2 linked regions of the Diceros bicornis minor genome follow. The protein of the gene in region 1 interacts with the protein of each later gene in a pairwise test. Links are inferred from orthologs where the notes say so. Each region holds a gene or a part of one and is shown in the gene's direction. Other genes may lie near its edges. The genes, in order: RUNDC3A and EIF3E.

Region 1 (15,565 bases):
TACAACCACTTTGGAAGTTTCTTATGAAGTTAAACACATACTTCTCATATGACCCAGCAATTCCACTTCTAGGTATTTACCCAAGAGAAATGAAAACATTTGATTACACAAAAATTTATACAATACCATTTATAGCAGCTTTAGTCATAATAGAAAAAGAATTGAAAAAATCCTAATGTCCACTAACAAGTGAATGGATAAATAAATTGTGGTACTTCCATACAATGGGATACTACACAGCAATAATAAGTAATGAACTAACAATACTTGTAACAACAGGAATGAATTTCCAAAATGTTATGCTGACTGAAAGAAGCCAGGCACAAAATAGTACATACTATACAATTCTATTTGGATGAAATTCTAAAAAAGACTCACCTACAGTGACAGAAAGTAGATAAATGGTTGCCTGGAGTTAGAGATGGGGCAGAGGATTGACGGTGAAGAGGCACAACAGGACATTTTTGGTGATGGAAATATTTCCTGTCTTGATTGTGGGTGTGTATATTTGCCAAAACTCTTAGGCCTGTACAATTAACACGGGTGCATTTATTGTATGTAGATCATACTTCAATAATGTTGATTTTTAAAAATGGAGAAACCAATTGACAAAATCAAAATAAAAACCGAGGAATAAAAAAAGAATAGCACACCTGAAGAGTCTACAATTATAAAAGAAATCGAATCAGCAGTTAAAGATATTCCCAGAAAGCAATGTCCATGACCAGAGAGCTTCATCACTAAATTCAATAACATATTCAAGAAACAAATCCTTCTGAACAGTCACAAATGATTCCAGAATATAGAAAAAGAGAGGGCACTTCTTAGCTCTTTTCACAGCATAATCTGAATACCAAAACTTGGCACGGATAGTACAAGGAAGGGAAGTAACAGGTCAATCTCACTCGTGAACGTAAATTCAAAAATCCTAAATAAATAAAACATTAGCAAACTGAAACCAGTAATATATAAAAAAGATAATACATCATGACCATACTGGGTTATCCCAGAAATGGAGCTTGATAACATTAGAAAAATCAATTAATGTCATCCTCTACATGAACATGAATAAAGAATCAAAAACCACATATTCATCTCAAAACATAAAAAACGTTTGATGAAATTTGCCATCTGTTAATGATTAAGACTGAGCAAACTAAGAATAGAAGGGAACTTCTCTAACCTGATAAGGGATATCTATTGTAAACCTGTAGCAAACATCACACTTAATGTTGAAATCTTTCCTTCTGAGTAGGTCAGAAAAAGGACAAGGATGCTTGTTATCTGGTGAGGAAGAAAAAAACCTGCTATTTGCAAATGACCTAATTGTGTGGCAAGAAAATCCAAAAGAAGCTACAGATAAATTATTTCAATTTATAGAAATGTTTAATAAATTAGCAGAATCAGCTTAAAAATTAATTGCAACCCAATTAAAACAAATTATTAATTTAAATTTAAAACAAAAAATTAATTGCAACCCAATTAAAAAATGGTCAAACTCACATAAACATTTCTCCAAAGAGATACAAATGGCCAATAAACACATGAAAAAATACTCAGCATCATCAGTCATCAGGGAAAGGCAAATCAAGACCACAATGAGATACCACTTCACACCTACTAGGATGGCTATTATAGAAAATGGAAAATAGCATTGGTAAGGCTGTGGAGAAATTGGAACCCTCATACACTACTGGTGGGAATGTAAAATGGTTCACCCACTGTAGAAACAGTTTGGCTCTTCCTCAAAAAGTTAAACATAGAATTACCGTATGACACGGCAATTCAAAAGAATTGAAAACAAGGACTCAAACAGATGCTTGTACACAAATGTTCATAGCAGTATGATGAAGGGCGATGAAAACGTCTTGGAAATAGTGGTAATGGTTGCACAACATTGTGAATGTAATTAATGCCACTGAATTGTACACTTAAGAATGGTTAAAATGGCAAATTTTGTTACACATATTTTAACACAATAAAAAAAATCAATTGCTATTTATACTAGTAAGAATTAGAAAATAAAATTTTAAGAAGGTACCTTTTAAAATAGCACAAAACATATGAATAACCTAGGATAAATCTAACAAAATATGTATAAGACTTCTTCAGAGAAAATGATAAAATTTTATTGACAAATTTTAAAGACAAGAAAAATAAAAGAGAGCTATACTCTGTCCAAAGATCGGAAGACTCAGGATTATAAAGATGTCAGTTCTATCCAAATCAAGCTATAGATTCAATGCAATCACGATTCCAACATAAATCCTAGTAAGATGAGTTTGTTTTTGTTGTGCTTGTCGATCTAATTCTAAAATTATTATGGAAATGCAAGGGGCCAAGAAAAAACAAGATACTCCTGAAGAAGAGTAAGATAGGAAGACTTGCCCTACCAGTGATCAAGACTTACTATGAAGTTTTAATATTTAAGACATTATGATTAGATGCAAGGATAGACAAAGAGACCACTGGAGCAGAATATAGAGCCCAGAATTAGCCCCACACATGTGTGGATATTTGCTTTGAAAGAGAGGTCACTGCAAAGTAGTGGGCGAAGGACTTTAGAAAATAATAATAGGGGCCGGCCCCCTGGCGTAGCGGTTAAGTGTGCGTGCTCCACTGCCGGCAGCCCGGGTTCCCATCCAGGCACGAACCGTTGCACTGCTTGTCAGGCCACGCTGTGGCGGTGTCCCACATAGAGTGGAGGAAGATCGGCAGGATATTAGCTCAGGGCCAGTCTTCCTCAGCAAAAAGAGGAGGATTGGCATGGATGTTAGCTCAGGGCTGATCTTCCTCACTAAATAAATAAATAAATAAATAAATAAATAAATAAATAAATAAGTAAGTAAGTAAGTAAGTAAGTAAATAAATAAATAAATAAATAAATAAATAAAAAATGTTGCTGAAGCAAAATGAAATTGGACCTCCACCTCACACCATACACAAAACTTACTCCAGGTGAATTATACACTTTCAGGTAAAATAACACTATAAAATTCTTGTAATATAAGAAAATACATCATAAACTCAAAATATGGAAGATTTCTTAAACAAGAGACAAGAAACATCTATCATAAAGAAAAAAAATTTGATACATTTGTTTATATTAAAATTAAGAATTTGTATTCATGAAAAGACTCCACAAAGAGGAGCAAGCCACAAAACGTGAGAAACTATTTCTAGTATATATAAGTGACAGAATAGTCATATTTAGAATATATAAAGAACTACTACAGAGCAATTAAAAGATAATCCAAGAGAAAATGAGCAAAATACTTTGAACAGGAACTTCACAGCAGAGAAAACCCGAATGACCAATAAGCATGTGAAAAAATGTTCAATCTCATTAACAAGCATGGAAATGCCAACTAAAATAAAATGTATGACAATATTTAAAGTCAGGGAGAGAGGAAATGGAAGTGTACTTTTATAAGGTTCTAATCCTTTTTCTTTCACCAAATTAATAGTCATGTACTAAATGTTAGGGGCATGTTGATCTGGTCTAGGAAAGCTATCCCACCACCTGGCCCAGCAGCTAAAATGGGGCTACCACTTGGTTACGTTCTCCATCATCTATGATGATTCATCTGGTTTTTCCAAGGGCCAGACTGATGAGTTAAATGGAGATATAATGGGTCCCACCACTCCTGCATCCTTTGTGGGTGACTATAATTACTGTCATTCCACCTGGGATGGGATATTGCTTCTGATTTACTATCTTGGCAGAGGTAGGGGGGAGTTTCCACTGGGCCTCTCCTACTCTGAAGGCTCTTAATTCAGGAAACCAATGTGAGAGTTCTGCTGGCTGTTAAGTACATCTATTCCAATTATGGATTCAGGGACCAGGGAAATAACCACCAGGTGAGTCTGTGAACCTATTGGACCCACTATGGGATGGACTTTCCCAGGTCTCCTTTCATCACCTGGCCTCTGTAGCCCCATTCTAATACGTGTCATGACGGCATTTCGGTCCCCTGTTATCAGTGTCAGCTCCGATCCTGTATTCAAAAGCCTTAAAAGATCTGGGTATCCCCCTCTCCCAGTGTACAACCGCTCTGATAAATGGCTGTAAGTACATTGGGGGAGGAGTGAGATAATTACTATCATATAAGCTTGCTGTGGCATTGCAAGATTATTCCCGAAGGGAACTGGCCTCCCCTTCAACCAATGGGCTCTGCAGCTGAAAAATGGTTTAGGTCTGGAAATGGATGAGGGATTGTGAATTTCCTTTGCAGTGGTGTCAGCCTTCTGCTCACTCATTCTTGCTCCTTTTGGCTACATAAGCCAAGAAATACCCTCATTGGCTGTCCACCTACCTAGGGAGACCACAGTCTATTGACCATCACTGTAGATCCCAGCTTGCCATTTTGGTCTTTCTGTCCATTCTGGTCATTATGTCCACCTTGATTCTGATGAGTAGTGCCATCATTTGGCCTCTGTTCTGGACTCCTGTCATACCCATTAACTCTAGGAAGCCCAGTACCATAGCAGCTTCCGCTACTATCAACTCTGTTCCACAGAGGATGGCCACTACTGAGCTGCAAATGATGCCGGTGGCCCTCCAACAGCAAGCACATTTCTTATCACTTTATTGAAGGGAGTTTCTCTGGGCTCTCATGAGGAACACAGTAATCTGGAGGGTTCTCTGGTCTTATATAATAATAATTTCATTCTGGTAAGCCCACCCCTCTGAGCCTTTTGACTCATTCCCCAGTACTCTGCCAAGGAAGTTTCAACATCTCCACCTCCTTTGCTGTAATGCATAGTTTTTCCTAAACTTTCCTAAACGCCACTAAAGTGGCGTATTGCAACTGGCTTCAGATGTCCTTGCCAAGCCTTTAAAATGTTAAGTCCTTAGTCATGGTAGAGTATTCCAGCCATTATCCAGCCTTATAGTCCACCCTCTAACCCCAGTCTGTCACTCTCAAGATCCGTTCCCGAGCATGTTCTCCCAATTTCTGCTGGTACATGTTAGCAGGATCCTGGAGCTCTTTTGGTAAATAATACCTTTCTCACCATAGCTGGGATACTGCTTTCCCACATGGTCCATGATGAGACTTGACCATAGTTATTGGTCTAGAATCATGGAGGGGGTCAGGGTCACATCTTGAAGAGGGCAAGTATCATCTTGTGAGGCATCTGCCTCAGGTGAGGACTTTGCATGTTATCCAGGCAAGGAGAGTCTGCTCTCTTCCACCAAGGGGGAGAGGGCACTTCTGCTGGCCCAACGGGTTCAGGAAAATCTGGGGATTCCAGAACAGATGTTCCCATACCAGATTTCAGGGTCCTACTCTTTCTCTATCAGGGCCCTGACTTGCTGCGCTTTAAATATATCATCCTGCTACTCTCACAGTCAGATAATAGCACTGACTTTCAGCACAGTCTGCCCTGCACAGGCTACAGATGAGTTTCCTTAAACGCTGCCAATGAGGCCTCCTGGCTGTTACACTGTAGCTTGAGTTGAGAGTTGACTGATGTGAGTCTGTCATTTTTATCTTTTAGCATTTTGATGGCATTTAACAACAACTGACCAACTCCTCAATCCTTATAATTACTATTTCTCTCTTACATCTCAAATACTAGAGATCTGCACAGGCAGTGCATCCTTGTCTTCACCATGGTGAAAGTGTTAGTAACCATGATGGTGCAGCACTCCATTGGGTATCAGCACCCCACTTACCTCAGCAATGGAATCCTCATTGCCATCTGGATGGTGAGTGATCCAGTTCCAGAATCCTATCCTAGCGGTCTGCTTCCTAAGACCACTTCAGATACCAACTGTATTTTGGGGCGTTCCTCCTAGATGTAGAACCTGAATCAAAGATTCAAATGTAAGTATTTGAGAAATAATGCTAGGAATCACCAGCAAGCAAGTGGGAAAGCGACACAGGGAAGGAGAGGAGGCCAATAAAGGATGTGCTATAGAGCAAGTTAGGAGTGTGGAGAACTGGAACTTCATCCTGCTGGAGGTCTCAGGGACCCAGCAATAATGTGAGCCTCAGGACCACCCCACTTGAAGGATGAGGGAGCTGGGGTATTTATCCCCCCATCCCCATCAGTTATTGGCTGAGGGTTGCTATGGATGGGAATACAACTTCCCAGAACTTTCAGACTGCCCAGCGTTTGGATAGTGCAGGCTCCAGTGGCCAGAGAGAGCTCTCAGGGAAAGAGTTGCAGTTTCTGGCAGTTGGGACTTCATCCAGTGTACCCAAGAGCTCAAGGACTATGGGAGGGGCACTGACAGCATCTACTACACCACGGGAGGAATCCTTTCACCCGGAGATACAGCAATGGTTCCACTGAACTGGAAGTTACATTCTCACCTGGGCTCAGAGCAAACAAGGGAGTTAACTTCAGGGATGACTGATCCCAAATACCAAGGGGAAACTGGGTTGCAGCTGCACAATGAAGGCAGGGAGGACTAGGTCTGGAACCCACGGGATTCTCTGGTATGCCTCTTCCTTCTTCCATGGTAAAAATGGTAAAAATTAAAGAAAAATGATAGCAACCCAATTCTGAGCATTTAGATTCTTCAAGAATGAAGGTTTGGTCACCTGACCTGGTTAAAAATAAAACAAACCAATAAACCGAGGTGCTGACTAAGGGCAAAGTGAAATGAAATGAGTAATGGATGAAGAAGGTATAAATATCAACGTCTGACAAGTTATAGAAATAAAGATTGTAGAAGCTATGGGTATTTTCTTGCTTGCTTGTTTTGTATTATATATTCTGTATATTAATTAACTTCCCCCTCCTTTCTTTCCTTTATTACTTTATATAAGGACTGTTGCTGGTAGTGAACTTTATAATTTAGTCTTAGGTTAAAGAATCCTGGAGGAAATGTGGCTGAACTCGGAGAGATACCAGCATCACCCAGAGATGGATACTGTTACTGCAAAGACTTTGCATCTCCACTTTGGGGGAGGGCGCCTGAGCATCTTCATTCGTGCAAAGGACAATTGCATCCTGTTAGGCAAAGGCATGAAGTTGTTAAGTTGTTACTGTTCAAATATGCATAGAAAGGTGTGTGTAAATGCTGAACAGAAAAAGGAGTAGACTGTGCCAGTAAATACTTCTTGACTTTCTGCTCCAAATCCATTCTTCGTGTCTCTGCTCTCAGACGCTGGGCTGGGTGGGGCTGGGACTCTGCAAACTTGTTTCCCAGACTCCATTACTAACTGGCTTTCTGTTAGGTTCTGCTAAGAGGAGGCACTAGAGGGAGATGGAAGGCAAGAGGAAAGGAGAAGAGACTATCTCCCCATTTTTTTGGTTTTGTTCAGAGTCACCCTATCACTGGAAGTTGGCTCTAGCCTTCAGCTTCTTTCTGCATTCTGAGAACCAGCTTTGGAGATGGCTCCTCTGAGGAAAGAGCAGCAGCCTGCTGGTGGCTCTGCCCAAGTCTGAGCCCCAACTCTGCAGGGCCCCATCTCTGTGCCCCCAGGGTGTGGTAACCCCATCTCTTCCCTTTTGCTCCCTCACCCTTGGCTGCTTCCTTTAGTTACTAGTTCCATGCTGTCTCAGTGTTCTCGTTCTCTTTTTGCTCTTTTAGAATTCCAACTCCTGTGTAACCAATTCCCTATATTAAATCCCCTCTAATTGAAATACATAACGTGGTTTCTGCTTTTCTGACTATCCTGTCTGATTACCATCAATGGTAGAATAGATAAGTTGTGATAGAGACACACATGGGAATAGTATACAAGGAAAATGACTCTCCCTAACATAATCTTGAAAGAAGCAAATCACAACTGAATCATACAGTATGACTCCATTTCTACAAAGTCTAAACACTGGCAACATTAAACTATATTTTTTATTGATGGACATGTAGATGATAAAACTATAAAGAAGAGCAAGGAAAGACTATCACAAATATCAGGCTAGTGGTTATCTCTTAGGGGGATGGACGAAGATGAGATCTGGGAGAAGCATACAGGAGGTCCTGGGGTGTTCATAATATTCTATTTCTTGATCTTTGCGGTGATGACACAGGTGTTTGCTTTGTAAATATTCTTTAAATAGCACATATGTGTTCTATGTGCTCTTCTGTGCATATGATGTATCTCGCAATTGAAAAACAAAAGAATGGGGCCTGGCCAGTGGCACAAGCGGTTCAGTGCGGGTGCTCCGCTGCGATGGTCTGGGGTTTGGCGATTCGGATCCTGGGCATGCACCAACTCACTGCTTGTCAAGTCATGCTGTGGCGGCATCCCATATAAAATAGAGGAAGATGGGCACGGATGATAGCTCTGGGCCAATCTTCCTCAGCAAAAAGAGGAGGATTGGCATCAGATGTTTGCTCAGGGCTGATCTTCCTCACACACACACACAAAAGAGCATCATGATTGCTACTGGCTATGAGTCTGGAGGCAGGAGGATGACAAGAGGGGCTTCTACAGGTGAGGCAAGAGGGAAAGGGAAAGGGCAGAGGAGGGACTGAAAAAATCAAGTCTGAGGTCCCAGAGGCCAAGAAGTGAAGCTGAGGCTGAGTGAGCATGAGATCTGTGCTAGGAGTCAGGACCTTCTCCACAGCACCCAGGGAATCAGACCAGGGCTGGGAACTTCTATGAGTCTTTCATCTCCTCCTCCTCTGTTTGTGCTAACAGAGGGTCCCTGCCTGCTGGTCACATTCAGACGTGGGTGCATTGACCATCCTAGCAGAGTATTGACCATACTAACAGAGTAGAGTAAATCCAGTAGGTGGGCAGAGTCAGTGAATAGATATGAACTGAGCCCTGGGATGGGCATTCCTGAGGTCAGATGGAGAAATCAAGTGGAGCCCCTTTAATCAACACAGAAAGGCTTTCTGTAGGAGCTGGGGATTTCAGTGGGTGAAAGAGAACAGGTTGAACAGAAGAACGGAGCAGGTGGGAGCTGGAATGTGAGAGAGCAACTGGGAGGCAAAAGGCAGCCGAAAAGCCAGACTGTGCCTCCATTTCCCCAACTTCCTGTAAAAGATGTAACCAACTTTGCAGGGCCCTCCTGGCCCTGCAGAGGGTTGATGGCACTATGCAGCAATGCTGGCAGCCAAGGGGTTAACCCTTAGGCGGCTGCCCGTGGGCAGTGAGGTAGGACTGAGGGGAAGCAGTGCCTCGGCTCCATCCCTTCCAGTTTCGTGGGCACCAGCTCTACTGCTGGGAACCACCACAGCGCCCAGGCCCTGAGCTGCCAGTCTCTTCTCCACTCACTGTCCTGAGTGGTTCCAGGGGCTGGGCTCCTCCGGCTTATCCTAGATTCCCATCCCCCACCCCAGGAGGCGTTGACTCGCCGGCTGGTGCAGACAAATACGCAGTGTCTCTGACTGCTCTTTGGCCTCCTAGGTCAGCAGCGTAAGGCCACCTGTGCTCTCCGGATGCACACCTGGCCTTGGCCTCGCGTCCTGGCCATAAAATGGGTGGGGGGCGGGGCTGGAATGAGGGTATTGGAGGTGAGGACCCCATTCCCCAGGCAGCAGGGGGAGAAATCTGAGAGACACCACCGATCACAGGTCAGAAACAAGGGAGGAGAGGCGTCAGAGCTCAGAGACGCGAGGCGAGGGGTCCGGGCCTTGAGTGTGGGGTGGACAGACCAGATGCCCTCTCCCTCCTTCCAATCGCTGCCTCTTCCAGGGACCCCCTCCGCCCTCCCTGGGGCCCCGGTCCGCTCCCCTCCCCCCTAAATCCTGCCCCCTCTGCGGATTGGTCCCCGGCCTGCCTGGGGGCGGGGCCCGAGGGCCCCGACGTCACGGGTCGAGGGGGGCGGGCGGCTGGGGGAGGGGGGCGACGGGCCCCGGCTCAGCACCTCGGAGAGCTCCCTCCCCGGCCTTGTTTTGCTCAGGTACCGCCGCCGGGGGAGGGAGCCAGGGGGCCGGGCATCGGGCGCAGGGGCAGGGGGATGGCCGTGGAGGGATCGAGGGACCCCGGCGGTCAGAGGGCTCAGCCGTGATCCGGCGGGGGGCCGGGGCGCCGGGCGTGGTGGGGGGCAGCTGGCGGAGGCAGCAGTGGCCGCACATCTGAATGGAAGCGAGCTTTGTCCAGACCACCATGGCTCTGGGGCTGTCCTCCAAGAAAGCGTCTTCCCGCAATGTGGCCGTGGAGCGTCGGAACCTGATCACCGTGTGCAGGTGGGCGCCGCTGGCGGGCGGGGGTGGGGCGGTCGGAGAGGCGTCGGGGAGGGCTGCGGAAACCTGGACTGAGGGAGGATGCACAGCAACCGCGGAGACAAGGGAGGAAGCACAGGGTTAAGAGGAGCACGTCCACTGTCCCTCTCAGGCCCAGACAGGGAGGGGGTTTGGAGGTCTGGTCTCTATCCTTCTAGGCCAAGCCAGGCCTATGCCCAGCCTGGGGCCTGGGGGGTGAGGGGTGTTTAATTGGCACTGCAGCTTCCTGTGAGAACCAGGAAGTGACATTGTGCGTGAGGGGGAAGGGGCGGCGATGGCTGGCTCCCTTGCTGGGGGCGGGGTGGGCAGAGGCAGAGTGGGCAGGAGAGAACTGATGGAGTAAGGAGATGAACGCCCTCCAAGCATACCCTCACTCCCAGTCCTGTCAGCCTGGCCTCTCCGGGGTGGGGCTTTCCTGGGAGATTTTCCGACGCTCAAATACTGGAGCAGAGATGGTGTCCTCCTCCATCTCTGGGCATGCAGCCTGTGGCAGAGTCAACTGGGGCATGTGGACAAAGCCCTTTAATCCATCCAGTGAAGGGTGAGGGGCGCTTCCCTGCCGTGGGAAGGACTGAGGGCCTGATCACAGAAGCCTGGGTCTCCTGGGCTCAAGGGGAGGAGACTGGGAGGGCAGGGCCATTGGTCCCTGAGGGTGGGGCTGTCGCAGTGTTGGGAAGATTCACCCACTTTTCTTGGGGCCCAGGAAGTGAACTTTCCCACTTTAGCCCTGCAGTGACTCACCCTCTCTGCCCTGCCCTAAGCCAGGAATGGCCAGTGGCTCAGACACTCTCCTTCAGCCCCCACCTGCACTCATCTCTCCCTCTAGGATCCCCATGCCAGCTGCCTTCTCCACCTGCAACCTCCCCACCCCCCATGCCACCTCTGAGGGCAGGGTGTTCCCAGTGCAGGGCTCAGCTGTCTTCCCTTGCCAGCCCCACCTGCCTGCACACAGGCCCTGGCCCTGCTCCTTCCCCCAGGAATCAGTGCCCACCTGATGCCCTGGCTCCTGGCTCCTCTAGCTCCTCCCAGGTTCCTGGGCACACACCCAACCATACTGCGTCTGTCGCACACCATTATATCCCTACTGCCCAGCACAGTGCTGAGCACATCAGATCTCTGTAAAATGCCTGGAATGTTATAGAAGACATGAATACAGCAATGGCCCAGCCCAAAGTGCAGGCCACTCCCTCCACCCTCACCCCCTCAAACACTGCCAGTGTGGTATAAAACAAAGGTTTCTGCCTTTGGGGCCAGATGGTCCTAGGTTCAAACTCTTACTTCATTAGTTATTAGCTGTGCAACCTTGGGGAAGTCTCCTAACCACTCTGGGCCTTGGGTGCCCTATTATCCCCATTGTAGATGGGGTATGTAACAGCCACACCAAGGAATGGTAATGACATAATCCACCTAGGAGCCTAGCCCAGTGCCTGGTACATGAAAATAGCCCCATCCTGATGACACCCTTCCTGTCCTTCTCCTCTCTCTTGACCTCCTAGGTTCCGCTTCTTTCTCTTGCCTCCCAGGACAGCTGGGCCTCTTGAGTGTGTGGGGAAGGGGGATCTCTTCTTGGTCTAGGCTGGAGAAGCAGAGGTTCTGGTGGATTGGAAGTGAGCTTAGAACTGGGGTGTGAGGATAAGAGCTTTGGCGGGGGGAAGGAGGTGTGGCAATGGCTCAGAAACCCCTCAGGCCCCTGCGCCTCGTCACTGTCACGTGGTTTGCCTCCAGCTCCCAGAACAGTTCCCTTTAGCAGGCTGAGGGCTCCACGGGGCCCTCGCCTCCCTGTCTCCATGGTAACCTGCAGCAGCCACTGTACCTCCTAACAGGGAGCACGCCATGGGGCTCCCAGGGGCGATGACCAGCTCTGCAGCATCCCTGAGGACAGATGGCAGACGGCTGCAATCTTGATACCAGCCCCAGGCCCCCACTGAGGTCTGACCCAGATGACCAGAAGAAATCATGGGGGTGGGGGGCAGGCTTCATACTGAAGCCCAGATAATGCCCTAAACACAGGCTCCTTCTGGCAGGGCTGACCTTCCCATTAATGCCCAGCTCCTCACCACCGCTGCCCAATGACCTGTACACACTCACCTTCTCCCAGTCCTTCCTGGGATCTGAACCAAAATTTAATGAGGCAGATACTATTATTCCTGTTTGCACCTGGGAAATGGGCCTCAGAGAGATTAAATGACTTGTTCAAGGCCACACAGGTATCACAAGGAAACAGGATTTGAGTCCACCAGGCTGCCTCCCCCTAGGGTAACCCCAACACTGATCTAGATCTGATCTCAGGCCAGACCAACTCTAAGCCCAAAGGAAAGGGAGGGAGCTCCGTGGGCTCAGCTGTGGCATTGGCCTGAGAGCCTCAGAGGCCAGTGCTCAAGGGCTGGATCCTGCAGAGTGGAGGACAGAGGGCGGAAGTGGCAGGGGCTGCTCGCGGCCTTGGTAATCGTGACAGCCACCAGGAGGCCACAAGATGTAGCAGAAAGAGCAACAACTTTGGAATCAAACGTACCTACTTGACTCCTCACAAGCTGTGTTACTCTGAACAGATGAGTCAACCTCTTGGACCCTCAGTTACTTTATCTGTAAGATGGGGATGATGGCGATAATAAGAGGACCTACCACCCGGGGCTGTTGTGAGATGCAGTAGATAATACACGCAAAGTATTGTGCTCGGCACATTACAGGGCTTGATAAACTTAGGGAAAAAAGGATAGTTCCAAGCAGCCCCCACATCCCTGGACACCCAACCCTTGCTCTGCCACTCACAATAGGGCAATATTGGGGTGTTGGGAGCCGTGTCCTCATCCCTGCCTCACCCTACTGCAGCGATGACAGGTGCAGATTGCAGGGGAGAGATTGCAGAGGGAGCCAAGGCTTCGAGAAGGACTGGAGAGAGGGACAGGGGCTGCTGGGCTCCAGTCCCTCAGCCTCATTGGCTTCCCTTGGCTGCCTTCCTCTCTGAGAAGCCAGGTGTCTGGGCCCCCAAGCCCCCTTCCAGAGATCTGCTGCCAGTGTCCCCTCCCACCGTGTGTGTCAGCCCCACACCCTGCACCTCCCCCCGCCCAGCTCTGCACCGCCTGGTTCTGGGCAGCTGCTGTGTGGGCGGCTGAGCTAGGAAGGAAAAGGGGGAAGGGGGCATCTGTGTGCTGAGAGCCCACCTGGCCACCCATGCATGCCCACGCTCCATGTGCCAACTCACATGCCCTGGCACAGGTGACCCCCCCATCCCAAAAGGGACTGAAAGTTGTCCCAGCAATAGCAGAAGACAGCTCAAGGCAGGAGCCCAAACTGGCTTCTAACTCCTACCTGACCCTCAGCCCACACACAGAGAAAATGCAACTCCGAGGGTGGGCACAGAGGAAGGGGCTCTGGGACAGGCCCCTGGCTCTAAGTGCTTCATCTTTTTACCTACTGTTTTATCCCCTCTCATACCGTGTTCCTGAAGCTTCCTTTCTCTGGGTGTCACCTCTCCTGTCACCCACTTTATCAATCAGTCTCCCACTTGCCACCCTATCACTCCCATGTCACAGCACCTCCATGGTCACTATGTTCTCATCTGTCTCCCACCCTCTCTCCCTCTGCCTCCCCACCATATCCATGCTCTTCATGACCTCCTCTCTGCCCTTCACTCCCTCTCTTTGCCTGATGCCCTTCCTCTACCACCATCACTCTGTCTTCTTGCCTGATACCCTACTGCCCCTTCTCACCCCTCCCCAGGTTCTCTGTGAAAACACTGTTGGAGAAGTACACAGCGGAGCCCATCGATGACTCATCCGAGGAGTTTGTAAATTTTGCAGCCATCTTAGAGCAGATCCTCAGCCACCGTTTCAAAGGTGGGTCCAGGTTCCTGTCCCCTGTGGCCCAGCCCCACCAACTCCCAGCCTTTAGTTTCCAGCAACCTCACTCTGATGTGGTTCTGAACCCCATCATTGACCCTGACCCCAATTCTGGGCCATGCGCAGAAGCTGATGCACAGAGCTGGGAAGAGGGGAAAAGGTCTTCTGGGCACAACATAGTGGGTGCCCACACACCCCATCAATGGGCATGTAGTGTTGTGCTGGCGTGCCCTTGGTGTACATGCATATGTGTGTACATGCATTTGGGGTAGGCACTGTGTGCGTGCATGGCTGAATATACTTACGCATGTGTGTGCCCCGTTACACGGACCCTCTCCAAACTCCCTGGTCTTTCTGAGCCCCCTCCCTGCCCTGGCTCAGCCTGTGCCCCAGCAGGTCCGGTGAGCTGGTTCAGCTCAGACGGGCAGCGGGGCTTCTGGGACTATATCCGGCTGGCCTGCAGCAAAGTGCCCAACAACTGCGTGAGCAGCATCGAGAACATGGAGAACATCAGCACAGCCCGAGCCAAGGTGAGGGGCCTGCGACAGGCAGGGCCAGGGCAGCTGCTCCCTGCTCTGGATACTGCATGCTCCTTGGTCCTCACCCCTGCCCACGGGCACTGGGGAGAAGGGCCACAGGAGGTCCAGACCCAATGGCGCACACGTGGGTCCCTTCGGGGCAGCAAATAAAGGTGAGTGTACTTTCCAGGGCCGTGCATGGATCCGGGTGGCACTGATGGAGAAGCGCATGTCGGAATACATCACCACAGCTCTGCGGGACACCCGGACCACCAGGTCAGTCCCTCTCAATTAGCTTGGACCACAGGTGCCAGTGAGAACGTTCTTAGCCTAAACACACTTCATCCTTAAGTTCCTGCAGTACCTGGACTACAACTCCCAGCATGCACTGCTAGTTTCCCTCCCCAGCCTGACCTACAGTCCTGGAACATACCTTTAGCATCGCCACCATCTCTTCCAAGTCAAATTCATTATCCCCCATCACTCCCCAGAACCGGTCTCATACACACCTCTGGACAAGCCTCAACTATGTATCATTTTACCGGTTGGTCTTGTTCCATGACCTACAACACACAGCCCTACCTGCTCCCCAAACAATGGCAGCCGTCTGTACTTGCCACCCATGGAATATAGAGTCCCAGCGTGTCGAGCTTCGGTTCCTGCACCGAGGGTTTGCAGAGAGATTGGGTCCTGGGGGCAGGTCACAGGCAGGATGTGCCAGTGGGGGACGGTGAGTTTGAAGCTGAGTACTATAGGGGGCATTGTGCCCCCCACCAGTGTTCACACCCAACCTGATGTTTTACTGCATTGACCTCTGTCCTCACATTGCAGAGTTCACATCAACATATTTTTGAGCACCTGCTGTATGCTAAGCACTAATGATTAGAACTTGTTTCCTGATTTTAAGAATCTGGGTGACCCAGTACTTGGTGGGGAAGCGCTAGCTGAGAGGATGAAGGAGAGTCTATTCTCAGGGGACACCCGTTCTAATAGGTGGGAGATACAGACGCTATCCCCAGTGAGCCCCAGTCGGAGGGGGAGACAAGATCCACAGCTGAGGGGTGAGCAGG
Region 2 (15,027 bases), on another chromosome or scaffold:
ATGCAGGGGCACAAAGGTGAGTAAGACATGGTCCTTAGTTTACTGCCAAGTGGAGGAGACGCTTTATCAGACCATATATATCAAGAAGTACAAGATGCTGTGGAATCCCAGAGGAGGGCAGTTAGGTCTGGAAAGTCAAATAAGAATTAGCCAGCTTGAAAGGTGGGAAAGACATGTGAAGAAGCCATAAGACGCACAAAAGCACTGAGGCTTGAAACAATGCCATATATGTGTGTGCTCACAAGCAGTCCACTAGTATTCATGCACAGGGTTTGAAGGTGACACAACAGGAGGTCAGACAAAAGAGGGAGAAAGGTCCCAGTTATAGAGGGTCTTGCATGCCCTGCCAAGGAGTTCAGGATTTATTCAGAGGGGATAGGGGAATGATATGGTCATATCTGCGTGTTAGAGAGTTTACTTAGACCAAGTATGAAGGGTGAGGGTCAAAGCAGAAGACAGCAGAACTGGTTAGAAAGAAATAAGCTGCTACATGTAAAGGGAGAGGTGATAGGGATAAACAAGGGCAATACATTTGATAAATATTAGGACCGCTCATTAATTCAAAGAGCCGTGTGGAAAGTCATATCTGCTTACTCCTGGGTCTGACCCAGCTTTAAATGCAGTTGATGGAAATTCGAGAGAGAGATGGAGGAAGCCCAGGTTTTAAATTTCCGAATTCCTACAAAACAAAAAAAAGGTAACTGGATTAAAAATAATGTTACTTAGTGTTATTTAGAAATATCTAAGAGAGCTATGAATCAGGAGACATGAGCATTCGAAAAATGTGTCCACTACAGTAGTAGCGATAGGTATTCATTAGAGTATTCCAAAATATGGATGAATTTCTTTCAAGAACACGTAGGTCTGGATATGAAAGCTCTATGCACATTTATTCATTTCTAGAGCATTTATCAAGTACTTGTTATATGTCAGGTACTAAGACAGGAATTGAGACTATAAAGACAGATATTCATAGATATCAAGATGTTTATACTTATACTCAAGATGTTTACAGTCTAACAGGAGGAAACAAACATGTAAAAAAAAAAGTGAGCTACAATGCTATAGGCTCTGAGATAAAAGTATGCTGTGAGAAGAGAGGGGCAGAAGGAGAAAGTGATTACTTCAGATATGCTCTGCTAATGGGAAACACAATAGTGAAGATGATGCTTCATCTGAGTCTTAAAAAGTGAAAAGGTGGTCAACAGGGTTGGAGGGGGCAGAAGGACATTTTAGAAGAAGCTGCTGGAGAGCAAGTAAAAAAATAATAAACTTGGCTTGTTTGAGCAAAGCTTAGTGTGGAAGGAGTGTAGGGTTCTGGAGAGATCAAGTGCTAAAGAACTTTATACTGTGTGCTAAAAAGTTTTGACTTTATACTATATGACATAGGAAGTGCAAAGTGTATTAGTTTTCTAGGGCTGCCATAACAAAGTACCATAGATTGGGTGGCTTAAACAACAGAAAATTATTTTCTTACAATTCTGGAGGCTAGAAGTCCAAGATCAAGGTGTTGGCAGGGTTGATTCTTCGAAGGCCTCTCTCCTTGGCTTGTGGATGGCCATCTTCACCCTGCATCTTCACATGGTCTTTCCTCTGTACATGTCTACGTCCTAAATCTGCTCCTCTTATAAGGACACCAGTCATATTGGATTAGAGCTCACCTAACGACCTCAGTTTAACCTAATTACCTCTTTAAAAACCCTATCTCCAGATACAGTTACATTCTGAGGTACTGGGGATTAGGACTTTAACATACGAATTTGGTGGGGGCCACAATTCAGCCTATAACAGGATTAGATGTGCATTCTGATCACCTAGACAGCAGGGTGGAGGGCACATTAGAGGGGTGCAGGACCAGTGACAGGGAGACCCTTTGGAAGACTAATGCAGTAATCTGTGTGAGAGATGATCAGAGCCTGAATTAGAAAGATAGGGGAGGGTATGGCGAAGGGAGACGTTAAAAGAGTCACCAGGTTGGGCCTGGCCCCATGGTCAAGTGGTTAAAGTTCCACGCACTCTGCTTAGGTGGCCAGGGTTCCCAGGTTCGGATCCCAGGTGTGGACCTGCTCCACTCACCAGCCATGCTGTGGCGGTGTCCCACGTACAAAGTGGAGGAAGACTGGCACAGATGTTAGCTCAGGGCTAATCTTCCTCAAGCAGAAAAATAAATAAATAAATAAATAAATAAATAAATAAATAAATAAATAAATAAATAAAGAGGAAGATTGGCAGCGGATGTTAGCTCCGGGAGAATCTTCCTCAAAAAAAAAGTCACCAGGAAAATTAGCCTGCAGGATAGAATTCAAACTCCTCAGCACAGTCCACAGCGCCCTTGACAATTCAGCCCTGACCCCTCAATGCAGACTCATGTCCCGCCACTCGACATCACACATGCTCCCCCTGGACGCCCAGGAGCACTCTGTGCATAGACACTCACCTTGTGCTATGATTATTTTACATTTTATATGCTTGCCACCCCCACTAAACCGTAAGCTCCTTGCGGGCTGGGATTGGTTTCCTTTCTTTGTTTCCCCAGAGGCTGACAGGGTGATCAGCAAATAGAAAACATTCAATCAATATTTGATGAATGTACGAGAATCAAAGGCTTCACCTGATACCACCTACATACTACCAGGTGAGGCCTTGCCTGTCCGTCCTCTGTAATATCTCTTTTTAACTGAAATACTAGGAAAAGTCTAATGCAAGAAAGTCAGATTTTCCATATTTGGGGCAAAATCTCTCTTATAAAAAGAAATAAGATATTTTCACAAACCAGCAAGGAAAATTCCAGGGGAAAAGCCAGGCAAATCAGCAGAGTTTCCAATCTGTCACCACTTTAATCCATCTTGTAAATCACTTCCAGTTTAATTTTAAAGGACAAAACACCACTGTCTTCATGTCTTTTTTTATTTAAGAACTTAATGAGTGGCTCCCATTGCCTATCTGATCAAATCCAAGTTTCCCAGTCTGGTTTTGAAGACCTTCCACAGCCTGGCTGCATTTCACCTACCCAATCCACTGTCCACACAACTGTCAGAATTACCTTCCTGACACACAGATAGGATTATTTACTCTCATGCTCAAAAATACTTTAAGGATCCTCATGACCTCAGATAAATTTCAAATTCCTCACTTAAGCTTTCTACTATTTGGCCCTGGTCTTCCTTTTCTGGCATATATCCCCCTAGAGTCTTCAATCTTTGGCTAACTTCCCAAGTTGTCTTTCTTAAATATTTCTTACATTTTCCTGTTTTTGTGTCTCTACAGTGTTTGACTTGTTCCTGAACCACCTGCAGTGCTCTCTTCCACATCTGTTGTAAAAGTCAGCAGTCTCAAATCCAATCCACCAGGCTTTCTCCATTTTCTCTACCCTCATTGAGAATCAATCTCTGTTTGGGGCCAGGCTGATTGGGACTCCATGCTCTTTCTATATTCCCTATAGCTTCTCATAACACTCTATCCTTTCAATACAGTTATTTATATAAGTATTCTATCATGTCTATCAGCATTCACACATCTTTTAAAACACTCTCCCTAGACCTCACATCTATCACTCCATTTCACTGCTTCCCTTTCTAGTAAAATTCCTCAAAAGATCTGTATATATATGTTGTTTCATTTTGTCTCCTCTCATCTTCTGAGCTCACACCAGACAGATTTTTATCCCCCATTCACTGAACCTGCTCTTATGAAGGTCATTGATAACCTGCATATTTTCCAAAGCCAAAGGGCAATACTCAGTCCTATCATCTTGAACTAACAGCACCATTTGACATGGTTCATTACTCCTTGCTGCTTTGACTACTCTCCTCCTTTGACGCCTGGGACACCACTTTCTTTTGCTCCTCTTCTCCCTCCACTTAGTGGCCAGGCCTTCTCCACCTTCTTTACTTGATCTGAATTGTCTCAACCTCTACAAGTTGAAGCGTCTAAGATTTAGCCCTCCTCATCTCTTTTCCAGACACACTCACACTCTCATTCAGTCCCATTATTTCAAATTTCATCAATACGTTGACAAGATCTAGTTTTCTATTTTCAGCTCTTAACTTTCTCCTGAATTTCAGATTCTTATGTACCACTGTCTAATCAGTATCTCCACACAGGAGATCAGTCTATGTCTAACAGGCATCCCAAACATAATACGTCCAAAACTAAACTCTTGATTTCTCTCCTCTCTACAACATGCATCTATCGCACCATTCCTCTTCTTACTAAAAAAGACCTCTCACTTCTTCTAGACCTTAGAGTCATCTTTGACCTTTCTCTTTCTCATCCAATCCATTAGCAAATTTTGCTAGCTCTGCATTCAAAATATATTCAGAATTTCACTACTGTCCACAACTCTTTCAATGCTACCACTCTCATCTAAGCCACCATCATCTCTTCCTTGAATTATTTCAATAGTCTCTTGACTGGTCTCTCTGTGTATATGCTCGTCTGCCCAACCTCTCCCAAACCTTCAAAGTGGTCTTTTTAAAGCATATCTCTGATTATGTGACTTCTTGCTCAAAATCCTCCAATAGCTTCCTACCTCATTCAGAATACAACCCCAAGTCCTTACTGTGGCCTACAAAGCATTGTCAACTGGTCCACCACTCCCTCTCTGAACTTATCTTCTGCCATACTTCGTCTTGCTCCATCAGCTCTTGAATTTCTAGTTTTCTTGCTATTCCTCAAGCACACCAAGCACACTTTTGCTTCAGCATCTTTATACTTAATATTCCTTCACCTAGAATTTTCTTCCTCTAGAGAGCCACAAAACTGCCTCACCTCTTTCAGGTCTCTTTTCAAATTCTACCTCGTCAGAGAGGCCTTCCCTGATCACTTCATATAAATTAGCAACCTTTTCCCATCATTCTCTAACTTTTGCCTTGCATATTGTTCTTCATAGCATTTATCACCACCTGACAAAGTATATATTTGTTAATACGCTTTATCTGTCTCCTTCCACTTGAATATAAGCTTCTTTAGATAAGGTAGTTTGTTTTCTTTACTGCTGTATTCCCAGGACCTAGAAAAGTGCTTAGCACAGTGTAAGTATTCAATTCATATTGTATAAATGAATGAATAATTGTCACCTACTTGAAAGCTTCTGTGACCAGGGACTAGCTCTTATTGATCCTATATTCCCATTACACCTAGCTTAGTACTTGGCATATGATAAAAGTTTAAAATGTTGGACAAATTGAATTGCATCTTATTTTTCTCTGCTTCTCAGAAATGCTCTCTGTTCCTCTTTGGCAAGTTTCCATACTGCCACCTGCTTCCTTCCTTCCTCTGCAGCCCATTTCTGCTGGAAGCCTCAGTTCTTGCTATTTGTCTTTTTAACTTCCCCTTTTCCTGTCTATATTCTATTACAACTTTAGTCTCTGGGCTTCCAGGAAACTTCAAATTACGACTATCATTTCTCAACTCTTAGCGGCTACAAAGACTATCCCCCACAATTTAGCAGCCTATACTATCATGTATTCTCTGATTCATGGGAATTCAGCCTTGCTTTCCCAAAAATACTGTAAATGGCACGATGGCAGAGATCATATCATACTCACAAATCCTTGAAAACATCCAGTACAAGGTCACATGCCTGGTAAGTGATTAACAACTATATCAACTGATCCAGAATAGTATCTCTATTTGCATATTAACATCACCACTGGGATATCTAATAGGAATCTTATTCTGTCTGAACCACAGTTCCTGATTTTAGCACCCATACATATTTCTTGGCCATTCTCCCCTCAGAAGTCACCAGTAGGTATCCAGTTTCTTAAGTTCAAAGTCTAGGAATCATTTTTTAAAACAAACTTTTACTCTGAGATAGTATTCACATGCAGATGTAAGAAATAATACAGGCAGATTCCATATACCCTTTACCCAGTTTCCCCCAGTGGTAACATTCTGCAAAGTTACAGTACAGGTTGGCAGTTCCTCAAGGGATTAAATACAGAGTTACCATGCAGCCCAGTAATTCCGCCTCTGGGTATACACACAAGAGAAATGAAAACATGTCCACATAAAAATGTGTACATGAAAGTTTACAGCAGTATTATTCATAGTAGCCAAAAGGTAGAAACAACCCAAATGTCCATCAACAGATGAATGGGTAAACAATTTGTGGTATATCCATATGATGAAATATTATTCCGCCATAAAAAGAAATGAAGTTCTGATACATGCTACAACTTGGATAAACCTGAAAACATTATGCAAAGTGAAAAAAGGCCACATATTATATGATTCCATTCATATGAAAGTTGTGAATAGGGAAATCTATAGAGACAGAAAGTCGATTAGTGGTTGCTTAGGACTGGCGTAGAGTGAGCAAGTGGAGGAAATGAAGATGAGGTCAGAGAGGTAATGAGTCCAGATGATCTAGGACTTTTTAGGCCATTATAAGACTTACATCTTTTACTCTGAGTGAGATAACAAGGCTTGGAGGGTTTTGAGCATAATTTGACTTTTAAAAGTCACTCTGACTGCTGTATGGAGAATAAACCATTGAAGGAAAAGAGGGGGAAGCAAGGTGATTAGTGAAGAGGCTATTCTAAAAATCAAAGCAAGAGATGGTGGTTTGGACTAGGGATTAACTTTGGAGGTGGTGTGAACTGATTGGATCAGGATATGTTTCAAAGGTCAGAACCAAAGGATTTGTTGGTGGATTCAACGTAGAGTGTAAGAGAAAGAGAAAAGTCAGGGATGACTCCAAGGTTTTGGGCCTGAGCAACTGGACAGATGGAGTTGGCATTCACAGAGGTGGAGAAGAGTATGAAAGGAGCAGGTTTTGAACAGCCACTTTGGGGAGTTTGGCTGTGGACATGTTAACGTTGAGATGTTGGACATATGTGAATCTGCAGTTAACTGATAGCCTGTGTTGCGGCTATAATCTGGGAGTTGTCAATGTGTAGATTGCATTTAAAGCCATTAGGCTGAATGATATCACTTAGGGCATTGGCCTAGATAGAGAAGAGGTCCAAGAACAGAAGGAACTATTAAAGAAGACTTCAGAGCACTTCGAATAAGATCCCCATTCCTTACCTTAATCATGACCTGGCCCTTCTCAACGTCTTTAACCTCACTTTCCAATCACACAGGATACTCACTTTTTGAAACATAAGTCTTTTCCTGTCTCATGGACTTTGACTTTGCTGTGCCTTCCACCAGGCATTAAAAAACTTGGTTTTTACCCAGGCTTTAATTGGTCACCTCCTTCTCTTACTACAATTCTCAGCTAAATTTTTAGTTACCCTGAGTTTTCTCTAACCACCCTAATCAAAAAAGCCCAATCCGACCACTCCACCACGTTATGGCTCTTAGTATAATCCGAAATTATTTCACTTGTTTTCTGTCTAGAAACCCATCCCACCTTAATTTAACAAACGCTTACAAAACGATTATTGTATGCCAAATAAAAGCTCATATTTCTCCCTGTATGTAACTTCCTGGAGAGCAGGAGCCTTATTATCTTGTCCTCTGCCGCATCTCAATGCAATCGACATTGCCGCAGCAATCAATTCTGAGTTTTCAATATTTATTAACGGAATGCATAGCACGACACTCATCAACTTGCAAACAGAAGAAAGTGTGCCGACCTCTTCGCCGCGCCCTAGAATTGCTCAGAAGAACGGAAAAGCCGCGCGCATGCGCCATTGTTCTCAGAGCGCTCCAGGCTGAACCCCGCCCCTTTCTCATGGCTAGTTTAACCACTGCACATGCGCAGTACGGGCCCTGTCCGTCTGTCGATTCTACCAATAAAGTTTTAGTGAGAACAAACTACTCTTTTCCTTGGCAAGATGGCGGAGTACGACTTGACTACTCGCATCGCGCACTTTTTGGATCGGCATCTAGTCTTTCCGTTGCTTGAGTTTCTCTCCGTAAAGGAGGTGAGGAGGGCTTTGAGCGCGAGGAAGGCGTGGGAGCGCGTGAGATGCGGGGCAAGGCCGAAAGGCGGTGGCGGTAACCCTAGGCCTGACACACGTGTGAGGCAGCCGCGAGTTTGATCCCAGGTCGGACCAAACTGTAAGGACCTACTGGTAGTTTACTGTCGTCCCGGTTGATTAACACCGCGGAATTCGGCCGGAACAGGGTGAAGGGACAGTATGAAACTTAGGAGAGAAAGAGGTCTTCTTGAGGTGCCAGGACCCGAGGTACTTCCGCGTCTTGTCCTCTGGGAAGTTGACGACTCGCAGGCTTCGCTGTAGTAACGCTTGAGCCTTACTTCAGGCCGGCTTCTAAAAGCAAATTCGAGTGTGAGAGATTTTGGGTTTTATTTCGGGTACTGTGGGCAGGCTGTACTTGGCTTTGTGCTTTTGCTTGCCGGATCGTTTGGATAATTTTCTTACACTTGAATGAAATATTTAACACGTTCATTTCCATAAGGTTGTGAGTTGTTTTCATTGAGTTTTCTTTAGCCACTTCCTAGAAACGTAGCATATTTTGTCGGATGGAGACAAGGACCTCCAAAAAAACACCTCGACAATTTTTAAGCTAAAAGTTTTCCAGTGTATACATATACACATTTCGAGCGATTTGAATTGATTGTGAACGTTCGTTTAGCTACTCAAGTATCTTGAATAAGTATGTGGTTCTGATACCTCATTTTAAAACGTGTCAGTCCTAAAAGTTTTGAAATACTGGGCTTAGTTATACCTTGAGTTTATTGGGAAATGAATGCATTTTAATTAAAGTAATATTACTATGATGAAGGGATTAAGATATCGGCCAGAAAAATGAATGAATACAAGTGTATTTATACTTGGGAGACACATTACAAATTAAAAGTGTAGAAATTAAGTGAAGTTAAGCGTAGACTTAGAACACAAGTCTGCTTAGAGAACTCTAGATTTGAGGAATAGATTTTGTGTGTCCCAGCAACAATAAAACGAAAAAGCCATACAAATAAGCGTTAAATTGTTCTGATAACTTTTTAAGTCTTCCTGGAAGTTATGGTTCATTAGACAAGTATAATCCTCAAATTCATACGAAGCTTTTCTAAAAATTTAGACAACTCTAAACTTGTTGTTAGGGAGTAGCTAAGTTCATTTTCAGTAATCGTTCAAGAATATCTTGCCATATAAAGCTTTATCTTGAAAGGATGTGTTTTTGCCTTGATTTTTCTTTGTATAGGATGTACTTACATGTATATTTTAGAGCTTGAATAAAACAGTCCAGTCTGCATTCTGTTTCCTTTTCTGGATAAGTGAGGATAATTCACCAAAGATCAAGGAATAAAAAAATACCATATTTAGAAATTCTTTGCCACCTACTTGTAGAAATGCTTCTGAACTAGCCAAACTTCATATTTTTGTATTTTGTTCTTTACACTTTCGTTTTTCAAGGCAGACAGACGAAAGGGAGGAATATGTAAGTGTAAATTAGTTTTTCATGGGACAGGACCAAAACTATGAAAGGCAGCTGAGAAGCAGTGGAAAATAACTGTGCCCAATACCTGCCTCCTTAGAGAGAATGTGATAAGATGGCTGTGATATGCCAAGACGAAGACAGATACTAGACTATTTATTTAAAAACTGCTAAGTATAGGGCTACCATGGAATTGTGAGAAATCCAAGATAAAACGCAGACATCTCACCACTAAAAAACTGACCTATTCTTTACAGGAGATAAAAGATTATTATTATAAGGCAGGTAGTAAATGTCAGAGAAGTACTGGCAGAGTGCTGTCAGAATTGAGGGAGATTCTTCATTCAGTGGGCAAAAAATTTTGAGGAGGAGAGGCTTTAAGTTGAGTTGATAGTCAGTGACCATGATACATGAGACTAACAATTTGTTATATTTGTAGTATATTGCAGAATATAAGTTCTATGAGAGCAGGAACTTTGTTCTCTGCTGTGTTCTCAGCACAGAAAATAGAGTCTGGCATAAAGGCTTTTAATGATTTAGTGAGATTGGAAATCATAGATTTATAGAGCTTACGATGCTCATTCTCAGTGAGAAGGCTTGTAGATAAATGTCATTTAGAGATTAATGAGAAGGGTTGCTGATCAGCAGAGAAAAGCACATTTGTGATTGAATAACATTATTGCCTAGTTTTGAGATATTTTATATTGGTCCTAAAACAGAACGTAGGAAAAAGATAACTTTTTTCCAGAGCTAGAGATCGATATTGAATTGTATTTGGTTGAAGAAAATGGATGGAATCAATGCAACTGCTAAAGAGAAAATCTTTGAATAGCTAAAAATGATATCCAAACTAATGTAGAAAGTGACAACCAAAAAGGGTGATATAAAAATGAGAGCAGAGGGTATGGTGAGGCTGAGGAAGCACTTTAATGGTAATGGTGGAAGAGGTGATGAATTTAAGTTGAAAATCTTAGAGATGAAGTACTGGATGAAAGTTGTACTTTGTGGGATAAAGGAATTTTAAGGCTTGAGTTTTTAAAGAATCATCAGTATAGATGTTGGATTTGTGGAGGATGACAGCAGGAAGGGATGTCAAAAGACCTCTTAAAAAGTAGGAGCTGTTTGCAAGAGGTTGATAGACCAGGGGTTGGCAAACTATATAGCTTGTGAACCAAATATAGCCCTCTCTCCCTGTTTTGTGTGGTCTGTATGCTAAAAATAATTTTTAACAGATGAACATTTGGAAACATTTTCAATTAGAGAACACTAACTTTGTACCCCAGTTAAGTGAAATATTTCCTGCCCAAAAAGAATTCCATTCTTTTCATTAGTAATCTATATTACAAAAAATTTTACTCCATTATAATCTTTATATTCTTTATTTAAAAAAGAAAAGAAATTGTGGAAATTTGTTTCTTTCTTATGGTACTTATATATAGTATCCTTGATTTTTGCTCTTTGGCTCACAAAGCCTAAAATATTTACTATCTGCCTTTTATAGAATAAGTGTGCCTATGAGGCAGAATTTAGAGAGGGTGTTATAAGCAGATGTAGATTTAAGAAGAGGCCAATAAAGTGTAATGGCAGAGGAGCAATGCTTTGTATTTACACTTGGGAGGCACATTACAAATTAAAAGCTATTAATGGGGTGCTGAGGGGACGTGGCATGCTAGGAAAAGGATGTTTTCACCTAAAGTTAGGGTTTCTGTAGGGCAACTGAAAGAAAACTTCAATTCTTTTAAGTAAGCTTTTTATCAAGTATAACATTCATGCGGAAAAGTGCATAAGTATAAATGCTTTTTTCAGAGTGAACACACTGTGTGACCACCATCCAGATCAATAAGTAAAACGTTACAAACATTCTAAAAACCTTCCTTCAGACCCCTCTTAGTCATTATTCGCTCTTCCCAAAGGTAAGCACTAGATGATAGATTAGTTTTTAATTTTATATAAAAGAAATTAATCATTCACCATCATATACTGCTTTGTATGACTTCTTTCATTCAACATTGAGTCATCCAAGTTGTTAGGATAGCAGTAGTTCATTGATTTTCAACGCTGAATGTTAAACCATTGTATAGGACAGTTTATCCATTCTAATATTGATAGACTTGGCTATTATGAATAGTGCTGCTATGACCATTCTTGGAAATTTTCTTTGAATATATATACTCATTTCTCTTGAGTACCTAGGAACAGAATTGCTGGGTCAAAAAGTATGTTTAGCTTTCGGAGATAAAAACAGTTTCCCAAAGTGGTTTGACTTCTGCCAGCAGAGTTAAGTGTTCAGTTACTCTACATCTATACCAACACTAGTATTGTCCATTTTTTTAGTTTTTGGTGTGGTTTTCGTTTGCATTTCCTTTGTGATTAATGAAGTTAAGAACCTTTTTGGGTGTTTATTGGCCATTTGGTTATACTACTCTTGTGAAGTGCCTATTAAAATCGTTTGGCCACTTTCAATTGGATTCTCTCTCTTTTCTTACTATTTTATAGGAGTTCTTTTTGTAGTTTGGAACGTCAGTTTTGATCTCATGGCTGTACCATTTGACCACCTTCAGCTTTTCTTTTCATGGGTGGTGAAATGTGGAATCTCCTGCATTTTTCTTTCCTTGGCAAAATTAAGTACAAAAATTTTTTCTTTTGCTGAAGCTTTATCTTGATGACTGATAAAATTTTTTTATTTTGATTATGATCTCTCCCTGAATATTATTGTGTAGAATCCTTACATATTGCTCAATACACTTAACTTCATGTTTATGTGAGTTTGCTTATGTATCTATATGGTACCTCTACTATGGGTTAAATTATATTTCTTGAACTCCCTGCAAAACAAAAACCTGATATGACGTGGTTATCTTACAGAATAGGTGCTAGTTTTGTTTCAGGGGTGTAGATGGGGAAGTATTATAAAAAATCATTAACTAGTGAAAAAATACGTGGGGGTAAAGGAGAGGCCACTTTGAGAAGAGATGAGTAGGCATCGTGTAGATGTAAGAGATACTAAGAAGGTAAAAAATTTGAGTTGATTCCTGATTACCTGGATGTGGAGAAGATACAAGTGTAGTTGCTTACCAGTGGAGTTGGTATGGTTGTGTGTTTATGCACAGCCTTGTTCTAGAAAGGATAAAAGATGGCTTATAGGGACACATAAAAAATGATATAAATCAGGGGTAGATAAGAATGGCTTTGAAGTGTATAATTGCCTTCATTTTTCAATTATTAGGTAAACAAAATATTCTTCTGTCTCTGTAGGCTGATTGCTTGCCTTCTTACAAGAGGGTAAATTAATAGTATATAAGATTATATTAAAAAACAGTATTTCAGAAAGTATATTTCCAGGTAGACTAATCTTACTATTAATCAGTTTATTTGGGGGAACTTCAATATATTTATTAGAAAGTAATTTTCTCTTGCAGATATATAATGAAAAAGAATTATTACAAGGGAAATTGGATCTTCTTAGTGATACCAACATGGTAGACTTTGCTATGGATGTATACAAAAACCTTTATTCTGATGATATTCCTCATGGTAAGTTTTGTCATTAGAACTGAAGCTTGTCTTGTTAACCAAGTTTCTGTGTATTAAAATTTTGTGATTTATAACAGAGCTTTAGTCAGAAGTCTTAATTATTTGAATGATTACATTCATGCGCCACATAACAATGTCTCAGTCAATGACAGACTGAGTATATGACGTTGGTCTCTTAAGATTAGTATTATATAGCCTAGGTGGTAGGCTATACCGTCTAGATTTGTGTAAGTACACTCTCTGATGTTCATACAATGATGAAATTGCCTAACGACGCATTTCTCAGAGCATATCCCGGTCGTTAAGTGACACTTGACTGTAAAAAGTTCTTTGGATGAAAGGTAATATGAAGGTTATAGGTCTTCTAAAGTATATTGTTTTCTCATGGCAAAAGGTGTGAAACCTCTTTAAAACATGGCCATCAAGTACCTTCAGTTCATAGTATGTATGATCAAAGTTGTGCTTATGAATCAGATTGTTTCCTTAGAATTATTCGAGAATGTTGCAGGGTTTGGTTTGCTAACTTTTTCAGTTAGCATCTTGTGTGCCTTAGAGATATCTTTTTCATCTTGAAGCATCTAGGTATAGCCACGATTCTCAAAATTATGGTTCCCAACACCGTCATCATCAGTTCACCTGGGAGAGCTTGTTAGAACTACAAATTCTCCAGCCATACCCTAGATCTGCTTAATGGGAAACTATTGGCTGAGGCCCAGCATTCAAATTGGAGAACTATTGTGGTACAGTGTTTTCCAAATCCTTGTTTTCTATGATAGTAGATGTTCCTTTAAAAAAAAGTGGTCCCATAAGTTTGGAAAATTCTAGTATATCATTTCTTTTATGCATAGAGTATTTTTAAAGATTCTAAGAACTTTTTGAGTAGAGAGATACAATTTACTTTGTTTAAATTGACATTTCTCAGTATTTAGTTACAGATCCCCTCTGTGTTTGAGAAACACTGTACTAGTATATACTTTCTAATGTATAATGCAGAATTTATTACATTGAACATAATCACCTTTTTGATTTATATTACAGTTCCCTACAGTAACAGTAGCTCTTTAAATTTTAGTTTGTGAGGAAAAAGTGAACTATTTCTCAGTGAAACTTTTAAAGCATGCTAGCAGGGTAGGTTATATGCAAGTTTTCCCTATAGAATTGGGTTTGAGAGATTAGAGAACCAAATTTATAGTGAAAAGAGAGATTATTGACTGGATTTAAATTGCATTCAACCTCATTGAAAACCTGTGGTAATAATATGTAAACTCCTCTGAGCCTCTGTTCAGCAACTCTGGGATAATATTCACCTGAGAAAATTCAGTGAAAACACTGAGAATGAAGTCTCTGAAATGTAGAATTAGATAAATGTTTCCTGTACAGCCTGCAGGTCTCCCCCGCCCCCTTCCATCTATATATTCCCCCATTTCCTGTCAGAGCAAGAAGAGGATTCCCTCTTCCTTTCCGTGCCTTTGCGGTGCTAGAAAGAAAAAATTGGATCTGGGGGAGTTACTGAATTGGTGGTTCCTGGCATGTGAAAAATTGGGGGTAAATAAATATTTGCACAATTGAAATAAATTGAAAATTTTCCAGAGACATCTTCACGGTGAGCAGTATAGTTTAACATCATAGTACTCCTTTGCATTTTTAATTAGCTTTGAGAGAAAAAAGAACTACAGTTGTCGCACAACTGAAACAACTTCAGGCAGAAACGGAACCAATTGTGAAGATGTTTGAAGATCCAGAAACTACAAGGCAAATGCAGTCAACCAGGTAACCTCTCTTTAATTTGAGTTCTAAAAATTCTCTTTCCTGGATTAATACAAATGTTAATTCAAACTTTATCTAGTGTCCCCTTGTAGAAGTTTGTGGTTTAAATGATCAATTTATGTGTTTATTTTCATTTGTCTTTATTGTGTAGGGACCAGGAATTCCTTAATAATAAAAGTTAATACTAAATTTTTTTTCAAACTTCTTACCGGTTACCCAAATCTGACTATGCAGGAGCAGTTCCACCCTTTTCCCCCCTTCCCAGGGGACATTCGACAATGTCAGGAGACATTTTTGGTTGTCACAATGGGAGGGGTGCTGCTGGCACCTAGTGAGGAGAGACCAGGAATGCTGCTAAATATCCTACAA

Evidence for each region.
Region 2: the proteins of RUNDC3A (region 1) and EIF3E interact in binary tests that used the Homo sapiens proteins (3 or more experiments, as listed by UniProt). The two-hybrid records come from large-scale screens. The link is inferred for Diceros bicornis minor from reciprocal best matches to the Homo sapiens genes RUNDC3A and EIF3E.

What each region holds. Positions count from the first base shown.
Region 1 is NC_080757.1:42,883,190-42,898,754, forward strand, and holds the start of RUNDC3A (RUN domain-containing protein 3A), read left to right. Parts: upstream 1-9,944; 5' UTR 9,945-9,995; coding exon 9,996-10,102; intron 10,103-13,858; coding exon 13,859-13,974; intron 13,975-14,373; coding exon 14,374-14,507; intron 14,508-14,685; coding exon 14,686-14,771; intron 14,772-15,565. UniProt on the Homo sapiens protein: May act as an effector of RAP2A in neuronal cells.
Region 2 is NC_080760.1:25,649,978-25,665,004, reverse strand, and holds the start of EIF3E (eukaryotic translation initiation factor 3 subunit E), read left to right. Parts: upstream 1-7,773; 5' UTR 7,774-7,790; coding exon 7,791-7,880; intron 7,881-12,776; coding exon 12,777-12,891; intron 12,892-14,543; coding exon 14,544-14,661; intron 14,662-15,027. UniProt on the Homo sapiens protein: Component of the eukaryotic translation initiation factor 3 (eIF-3) complex, which is required for several steps in the initiation of protein synthesis.